Coturnix japonica: one gene and its partner. The main gene of each other region encodes a partner of the protein of the gene in region 2 in a complex. Links are inferred from orthologs where the notes say so. Each region holds a gene or a part of one and is shown on either strand. Other genes may lie near its edges.

Region 1 (4,212 bases), on a different chromosome or scaffold from region 2:
ACAGCCTGGCTACATGCAGTTCCCACCTGTTGGCCACTTCAGCAGGATGGGGCAGCAAAGTGGCCCAGGCCTCACCTGCAGTGCTGGAGAAACACCACTCATCCCAACAGCCACTAAGGAGAGAAAAAGAACCATCTCTGGGCAGCAAGCCTGCAAGGAAACCCCCCTGTCCTCCTACCTGGATCATTTTTCTATGAGAAAAGAAAGGACAAGGTATGAGCTACTGCTTCCTTCTCAGCCCTGTGCAGCACATCAAGGAATTGGGGATGTAACTCTCCAATGGGACATCAAACAGAAGAGCACTGGCTGCTGCAGGCAGCTTTTGGGACAGCCAGCAGTTTGTGTTGCAGGCTCTGTCATCACAGGCAGCTTCCTGAAGAAGCGTCTATACTTTGAGGTAGCTGTATCATGCTTTCTGAGGAACAAAGCAGCTCAGGCAAGGGTGGTAGAGGAGACAGACCATGACAAGAACAAGGCTGCCTACAGGAACAACAGAACTGGGAACACAGCTGGATTCAGAGCTTTAAAGACTGCAGTGCAAATACATCATCGAGAGGGTAGAGCACCCAACAAAGGCCCACTGTGCTGTATGTACACAGCAAAGGTCAACCAAGAGAAGAGAGTACCTAGCTGGCCTAGGCAGAGGCACTGAGATAAAGCAGCTTAGGGATCTGCCTAAGGTAATCCGGCACATGGGCAATAGATAAGGAACCAGAGACAAGTGAAGGCCCTTACATTCCAATCCAAGTCGTATGTCTCTTTATTTTTACAGCACCTCCTCACCACTGCTTAAAACTTGGCTAACAGAATGTATGGAAACTGTCGAGTCCCAGCCTGAACCATTGATTGAGCACCTGGGCAAAGGACCTGGCCAGCCCTGGATGCACAGGTGAAGGCAATGCAGCAGTGAGACTAGAAGGGGTACAGCCTGGCTGCATCTCTCTTAGACCCCATTTAAGGGCTGACTGCCTCTGGGGAAGGATCTTTTTCTGGAGGTCTCTCCTTGGTGAAGCTTTCCTCTGCAAACTGAGACTCTTCTGATCCAGGTGAGCAATCTTCTTTCTTTCCTTTGTAGCACCTCTCTGTTGTGCCAGCCCTTCCATCATCATCACACATTTGATGTAATGCCTTTCCCATTGCACCGATCTAATTGCTACACAGAACTTCAGGCCAATTCCTGCTGCTCTTCCAAGAAGCCTCAATTAAACAGATTATGAGGTGCCACCGAGGATTCCAGAAGAGACTCAAGGAAGGGATAGATAACACATACTGCTTTCCTATTTTAGCACTGGAGTTATCACAGTATGACAAACTCTGATAAAACACCTGACATCTGCCTAATGTACAGATTAGATAACCAGAACTTTGATAGCTTCTATTATTGAATGCTGCCTAAAAACAAAGCTCTACTCAGAGCAAGACACTGCACCAACAGAGCTCAGCTCCCTGCCTTGAGCAGGCAGTATCCTTCTTCATTCCTTCGTTTCTCTCCCTGCAGCGTGACTCATTCAGGCACTAAATTTGCATTCAATTCCACCAGTACTTTGAGGAAACGGTGTGTGTGAAAGGCAGCATGCAAAGCAAAGATGCACTGCAAATCAATTTTAAACCAGGAAAGGTTTGGAGGAAGCATCACCTCAAACCACTGAAGTACACCTAGAAGCATAAAATACTCTGGTCAGCCTGGTCTGGTGGTTGGTGACTCTGCCTGTGGAAGGGAGGTTGAAACTGGATGATCATTATGGTCCTTTTTAACCCAGGCCATTCTGTGATGCTATGGCTCTGGGGGGACCTGAGAGTGGCCTTTCAGTACCTGAAGCAGGGCTGTAAGAAGGAAGGACACAGACTCTGCCTGCTGTGATAGGATGAGGGAAAGCGGTCCCAAACTAAGAGGAAAGACTCAAGCTGGATATTGATAATGAAGTTTTTTACAGTAGGGGTGGTGAAGCGTTGGCACAGGTTGCCCAGATTGGTGGTGGTGCCCCATGTCTGCAAACACCCAAGGTCAGGATGGACGGGGCTCTGAGCACCTGATGGAGCTGTATGTGTCCCTGCTCGGTGCAGGGTGTTAGAGCAGATGGCCATCAAGTGTCTCCTCTATGACTCTATATAAAGAAAAGCACCCAGATTTCTCCCTAGGGATCAGCACAATGCACTGACACCTGCCAACCATCACACATACCCACAGCCAAGCCCAGAAGAAAGCCGATCCGAGCTGATACCATTCTGTGCTCCAGCTTTTAGCCCTGAGTCATGACATCACCTCGTGCCATCACAACAGCGGGATGTACCTACAGCCCCTGAGGCCTCACACGGCATCACACGGGATGGAGGAGACCTTACGACGGTGACACCGACCGGCAGCACTGAGGCTACAGAGCCCGGTGTCCATTGCGGTTTGCCGTGCAGCAGAGCGGCCCCATATGAAGGCCGTGGGCAGCAGCCAGCAGCAAACAAAGCGGGGATCGATGTGCAGCGGGGAGATGGGAGCTGTGCACGGGGCGGCCCTTACCTGGCTGCCGAAGTCCCTCAGGTGCGCCATGCTGGATCCGTGGGGCCGCGCTCCTCGGCGTTCAGCTGCGGGAGACAACACGGCGGCTCTGCCCGGTCCCGTCTCGCCCCGCCATCCCCGCTCCGCCCCTTGTTGTCCCCCCTTCCCCCAGCCCCCACCTACGGCCCTGGTTCCCCCCGCGCAGCGCCGTGCGCCGCCATGCCGACAACAGCCGCCCCGGGACACCGAGCTCGGCCGCGCCGCCGGGAGGAAGCGGGAGGGGAGGCCGCGCCGCGATGCCTGCTGGGAGATGTAGTTCTAGCCCCGCCCAGAGATACAATGGGGCCGCCCCTACGGACTGCATGTCCCGGCGGGCTGTGCGCGGGGCGGAAGGAGGGGCCGAGGGAAGGGGAGGTGCGGGCTACAGCTCCCACGTGCGGCGGGTGTCGGGGAGCGGCGATAGGGGTCGGTGATGGGGGTCGGTGCTTGTGACGGCTGCCTTTAGGGTAAGCCATAATGAACGGCCCTGCCCGGCTAATGGCCGCCTCCGGGAGCGGTCAGGGCTGCCGGGTGGGTCTATGAACACGGACCCGCTTTGGGTTGTTTTGTCGCTGCCACCAGGTGGCAACCGCGGATCGCAGCGCTGAGCCCCGCGCGGCCCCGTGGGGATGCACGGTAACAGCTCGGCCCCAATGGCAGCTGGAGCATTGAGCACAGCCGTGCGATGAGCTGCCCACAGTAGTGGGAGACAGAGCTCCAAACCGAAGTGCTCGTCCCTTCGGTGCAAGGCATTGGGCTGATGGGCTGCACTCCACCTGGTAGGCATGAAGTCACCGCTGTGTGATGGCAGCCATAAGCTGCTCCGGGCCTTAAACCTTGTCCTTGCATCTCCTACAAGGATCAGCTTTAAAGGGAACCTGTCCCTGCCAAAAAGAACACACTGAGTGCTGCAGAAGCCCATTTGCTCCTATGGTTCCCCTTCCAGAGCCTTTAGGTGTATAGAAGCTGCATCAGGCTGCTAGAGCTCCAGCACTCTTGTTCCTGCCTGCAGACTATAACTACAAGGCTCAGTGTTGCGAGACTCTCTTTCCCTGCTGATATCATGGCTCTTAAGACTCTTTTGAGTGTTCAGCAAAGAAAAGGGCCTTTATCTCCCAATTCTGCTGCTGAAGTGGAATAAGCAGGAGTGGCTCTTGCAGCTGTGAAGCTCCGTGTGGAGCTGACTCCTGGGTTGGCTCAGCATCTTTTCCCTCCCAGTGACTAATCCTCAAATTAAGCCAGGCTCCTTCCAAGCTGAGAGCACAGAGCGCTTGTTCTTCCAAACCATGTTCCTGTGCAGCAGCAGAAAACAGCTGATGAAGCTGAATCTTAAACCCTCGCAGACGTCTGTGCTCTGCTTAGGCAGGAATGGATACAGCTGATGGATCTGCAGGGATACTTTGCCTTCCCAGCTGGTCTCTTCTCACTGCCCTGATAACAGGAGACCCCAGGGTGCCCCTGCTTAAACAGGGTGAATGACAGGAGCCGGTGATGAGGGTGAGCTGCACATCAGCCAGCACCTGGGGATAGAGCTGGCACTCACTGAGCACTCAGAGAGACAGCCTTGTCTGGAGCCACAGCACAGCTATGGAAATTAGCACGTCTAGTCTTTGAAATAGAACAAAGTGCTCTGCTGGAATCAACAGCGTGGCATCCTGCTTTCACTCCCTACCTGCATCTAA
Region 2 (3,985 bases):
TGTTTAGAGAGGTTACCCACCCAGCGCAGTCACATTTCCTCAGGGTGGTTAACAGAGCAACAAGTGTGAGTTCAGAACAGCCAGAAAGAAACAGGAAGCGCTGCTTGAGCAAGCAGGGTTGTGTGGGACCTGCTTCTCTGGGCCGCAGGCTGAGCATGGCCCACAGCATGTCTTGGCCTCACCGCTCTCCTCCTGCATCACTTCTCACGTGGAGATGGTGGTGCTAATGTAGGGTGTGGTAGTGGTGTGTGTCTCTTTAGAAAGCTCTTGTGCTACTGGAGCAGAGCAAACTATCATCTCTGTGTGCCTAATGGTTTGTGACCCCCCAGCCTGTGGTGTCAGCATCAGCCTCAGGAAGTCTAGTTTATCCTTTCAGAAGTGGTCATTTCCAAGAAATGCTGTTGTGCTCTCCTTGTCAGTGTTCTGAGCGGTAGGGAAGGGAAGCTGAAGTGCTGCTGGGATGGACTGGTAGCTTTCAGTGCTCTGGCAGAGCTGTGTGGGTGTGGCACTGAGGAACACAGTTAGTGGGAATGGCAGGGGTAGGTTGATGGTTGGACTAGATAGTCTTAGAGGTCTTTCCCAACCTTAATGATTCTCTAAGTGTAAGGTCCCGTGCTCAGAACATTGCCAAAACAGCAAGGAATTCACCAGCAAGGAACTGAAATGGTAGGATTTGATGGGGGGTTGTGGAGCTGCTGCAGGAAGCAGCCCTCGTTACGTCCCTAAAGTGGGCTGCAAGCGTGCCGAAACCACTGAAGCCAGGCTGTGAGGTGCAGATCTTTTGAATCAAAGGGCCCTGGGCAACCTGATCTAGTAAAGGTGTATGTTTGGTGGCCCTGCCAGGCAGGGGGGTTGGAACTACATGATCCTTGAGGTCGCTTCCAACCCGGGTCATTCTGTGACTCTGTGTGCGCTCACCCCGATCCCCGAGTGTCAGTGCGCGGGGAGGAGCCTCTGCCCGCGGCCTCGGCCCCGCTGTGGCAGCAGGGCGGAGCAGCAGCCCCGCTCCCTGCCGTCCTCTCTCCGCCCGCCCCGCGTGCCGCCGCCCCACTAAACTACGTTTCCCGTAGTGCCGTGCGGTTGGCGGCGCGAAGCTCGCTCTGCCTTGTCCCCTGCGGGCCGCGGTAGCAGCCGGCGGGGGCGGCTGTCAGGCGGTGACGGCGGCGGGCGGGACGCGCCCAGGTTGTGCCGCTGCCGGGACGCGGCTGGGCGCGGCGGCGGCGGCCGGTGTCGGTGTGGGCGGCGCTGCACGGCGCGGCAGACGCGGCCCGGCCATGGACGAGCAAGCGGGGCCCGGCGTTTTTTTCAGCAACAACAACAACAACAACGCGCTCCTGCTGCCGCCGCCGACGGGCGGGCCGGGGCTGGAGCCGGGCGAGGCGGCGGCGGCCGCGGCGGGAGGCGGCGGCGCGGGGGTCTCCTCCGGCGGAGTCGCCGCGCCGGTGTCGGCGTCGCGGGCTCAGTACAGCGTGCCGGGCATCCTGCATTTCCTGCAGCACGAGTGGGGCCGCTTCGAGGCGGAGCGCGCCGAGTGGGAGGCGGAGCGGGCGGAGCTGCAGGTAACGCCGCCACCCCGGCCCCCCTCCCCGCTCCCCAGTGCGCCCCCGGCCCGCGGGGGGTGGGGGGTGGAGCGCCTCCCCCCGGCCCCGGTTCTTCGCCGCCGCCCGGAGGGGCGTGACATGGCGGCGGCCTGCGGGGGGCGGCCGGGTGGGCCGTGGGCGGGAGGAGTCGGCTCCGCGACGCCGGGGCTGAGGGGCGCGTTGCGAGAGCTCCGATAGCGATCTTGTGGTTTAGGGAACTTGTGAAGTGCTGGCCCGCAGCCACCGCGGTCGGGCGCTCCGGGATGCGCGCCTCGTATTAACGCTAATAACAGAGGGTAATAACAGAGGGCGGCGCGGCCTGCACCGCGGTGCTGCTTCGGCTTTGTTCACGAGCAAATCTCGGTTGTAAATCTTAACCGCCCGCAGCGCCGGGAGCCCCTTGTGGGTCCTTCCCAGCGCCGTGCTCGGGGCAGGGAGCGCTTCCTCTTGGGTCTCATTCCCTTCCTCTTCCTTCCTGGCAGTTCTGTTCTTTCTGTTCCTTTCCTTGAAAGTATCGTCTTTGTCGAGAGTCTAAAGTCTGTTTAACGGCAAGAACCGCTTATCTCTTTCGTTGTTATTGTTTCATTTTTCTTCGTTTTCGTTTCAAGTGAGGAGGAAAGTCGGTTCCTTAGCCGTACTTCCAATGACAACATCAGGCAAACCCTCGTGGAGGGGAGTGGTGGCTGCTCCCCGTGTAGGAGTGCAAAGGAAGTGGCCATAAGCACAGGAGAGATGCGGTTTGTGTTTTAGCTTCAGTGATTTGGTGAAAGATTTGCTCGTAACATGGTTAGCGGGCACAGTGGCGGTGGGTTGATGGTTGGACTAGATGATCTTAGTGGTCTTTTCCAACCTTATTATTCTGTGATTCTATATGTTGCTCACAACATCCGGTAAATATGATGTAGAAAGTAACTAGTTCAACTGCACATAATAACAACGTTGCTCGTCGCACCCTAAGGTATTTATGAGACTCCACTGGGTATTTTTTCATTGCTGATAGGAATCTCACAGGGTGCTCTGGAGGAAAACAAGTTCCTTGGGACCAAAGCGATTCTGCCGATGCCCAGCAGCAGCAGAGCTGTATGTGCCCTCAGTGTCCCCCCAGAGGCCATTCCTGCATCCCACCTCCCCAGTGTCCCTCTGGGGAGCAGTGGGTGTCAGAGCTGAGCTAGCATGAGAAGGGGCCAAGCACATGCGTGATGTGCCAAAGTCATGCGCTGTCAGTGGCAGGGCAGGAGCACAACCCCAATACAAGCTGTTTGCTGGAACTCCTTCGACTCTTGCCAAAATGTCTCAATAAAGCTATAATTAGCTGTGACTGGCATCGCCACAAGCTGCAACAGCATTTATCTACTGCAGAGTCATGTTCAGGAAGGTGCAAAATTCTTGACTGTCCCTGCAGACATTGGGTGTGTGACGTCTGCCACGACCGTTCTCAGCCGAATGCTCTTTGATCCGTATGAGAGGTTTGTGTTGTGGCTTCGGCAGCAGCGAGGGGGCTCTGAGCAATGGTACATGCACAGCCCCACAATGAGCAGCATTAATTAAAGGCAGATTCCACGTTCCTCTTGAAGCCCTTCATGGGCCTGGATGCTGTGGATTGTTTAACAGAATAATGGCAGTCAGAGGTCATGCAGTTTCTGTCTCTCGAGATAAAGATGCAGTGCTCTGATTGTACTCCAAGGTCTTCTGGCCAGTGTAAATTAAATGCTAGGCTGTCTGCTCTCTTGGGAGGCCATGTGGCAGAGATCCTGCTTTGTACGGCATTCTCTGTGTGCCATACATTTTATGTGTAGTGCATCTTGCTCCTCAAAGGCAGACTTATGATCTCTGGTTCCTTACCACTGTGATACTTAAGTCCCTCAGATGTTGCTCTGCTTGGCTGCTGCTCTGTGCTCGACGGTTAGTTAAGCTATACTCTTTCTGAAAAAAACACCTTGTAAGTCAATCCTACTGCGATTTCCTGCCTTCCTTTTCTTCCCCTCTGGGCTTCTTTTCCTTTTCTCTTTTTTTTCCCCCTCCCTTTGCAGTTACTTGTGTGGAACTCCACGTGATGCTCAGCACACCTTCCTGTTGTGCTGCAGGCTGCCTGCTCAGGTGCCCCCCACCCTTGCTGCAGTTAAAAACAAACGAGTTGATATGCTGGGAAACTGGTTCTGTTCATACTTGCTGGCCTAGTTGCTGCTTTAACAAAGTTTTTTTTTTCTGCCTGTTTGCCTATTCTACTTATCATTTGCTTTCCCTGGCAAATATCTGTGTTTACTCTGATTTTCTAATTATTTTTCTTTAATCTTTAAAAATGGTTCTTGCCTCTGTTATATAATCTTCCCCATTCAGAGGCCTTCAATATTTATATCTCCGTGAGTACCATCAGCAAGCTGCATGTTTTGAGGCAGACTGAAAGC

Evidence for each region. Proteins that work in one complex are often made in the same cells at the same time.
Region 1: STRN (region 2) and STK25 share a complex: the UniProt entries of both Homo sapiens proteins name them as parts of the core of STRIPAK complex. The link is inferred for Coturnix japonica from reciprocal best matches to the Homo sapiens genes STRN and STK25.

The regions. Positions count from the first base shown.
Region 1 is NC_029524.1:3,907,280-3,911,491, forward strand, and holds the start of STK25 (serine/threonine-protein kinase 25), read right to left. Parts: upstream 2,801-4,212; 5' UTR 2,671-2,800; intron 2,578-2,670; 5' UTR 2,543-2,577; coding exon 2,513-2,542; intron 1-2,512. UniProt on the Homo sapiens protein: Oxidant stress-activated serine/threonine kinase that may play a role in the response to environmental stress.
Region 2 is NC_029518.1:28,841,894-28,845,878, forward strand, and holds the start of STRN (striatin), read left to right. Parts: upstream 1-1,185; 5' UTR 1,186-1,274; coding exon 1,275-1,559; intron 1,560-3,985. UniProt on the Homo sapiens protein: Calmodulin-binding scaffolding protein which is the center of the striatin-interacting phosphatase and kinase (STRIPAK) complexes.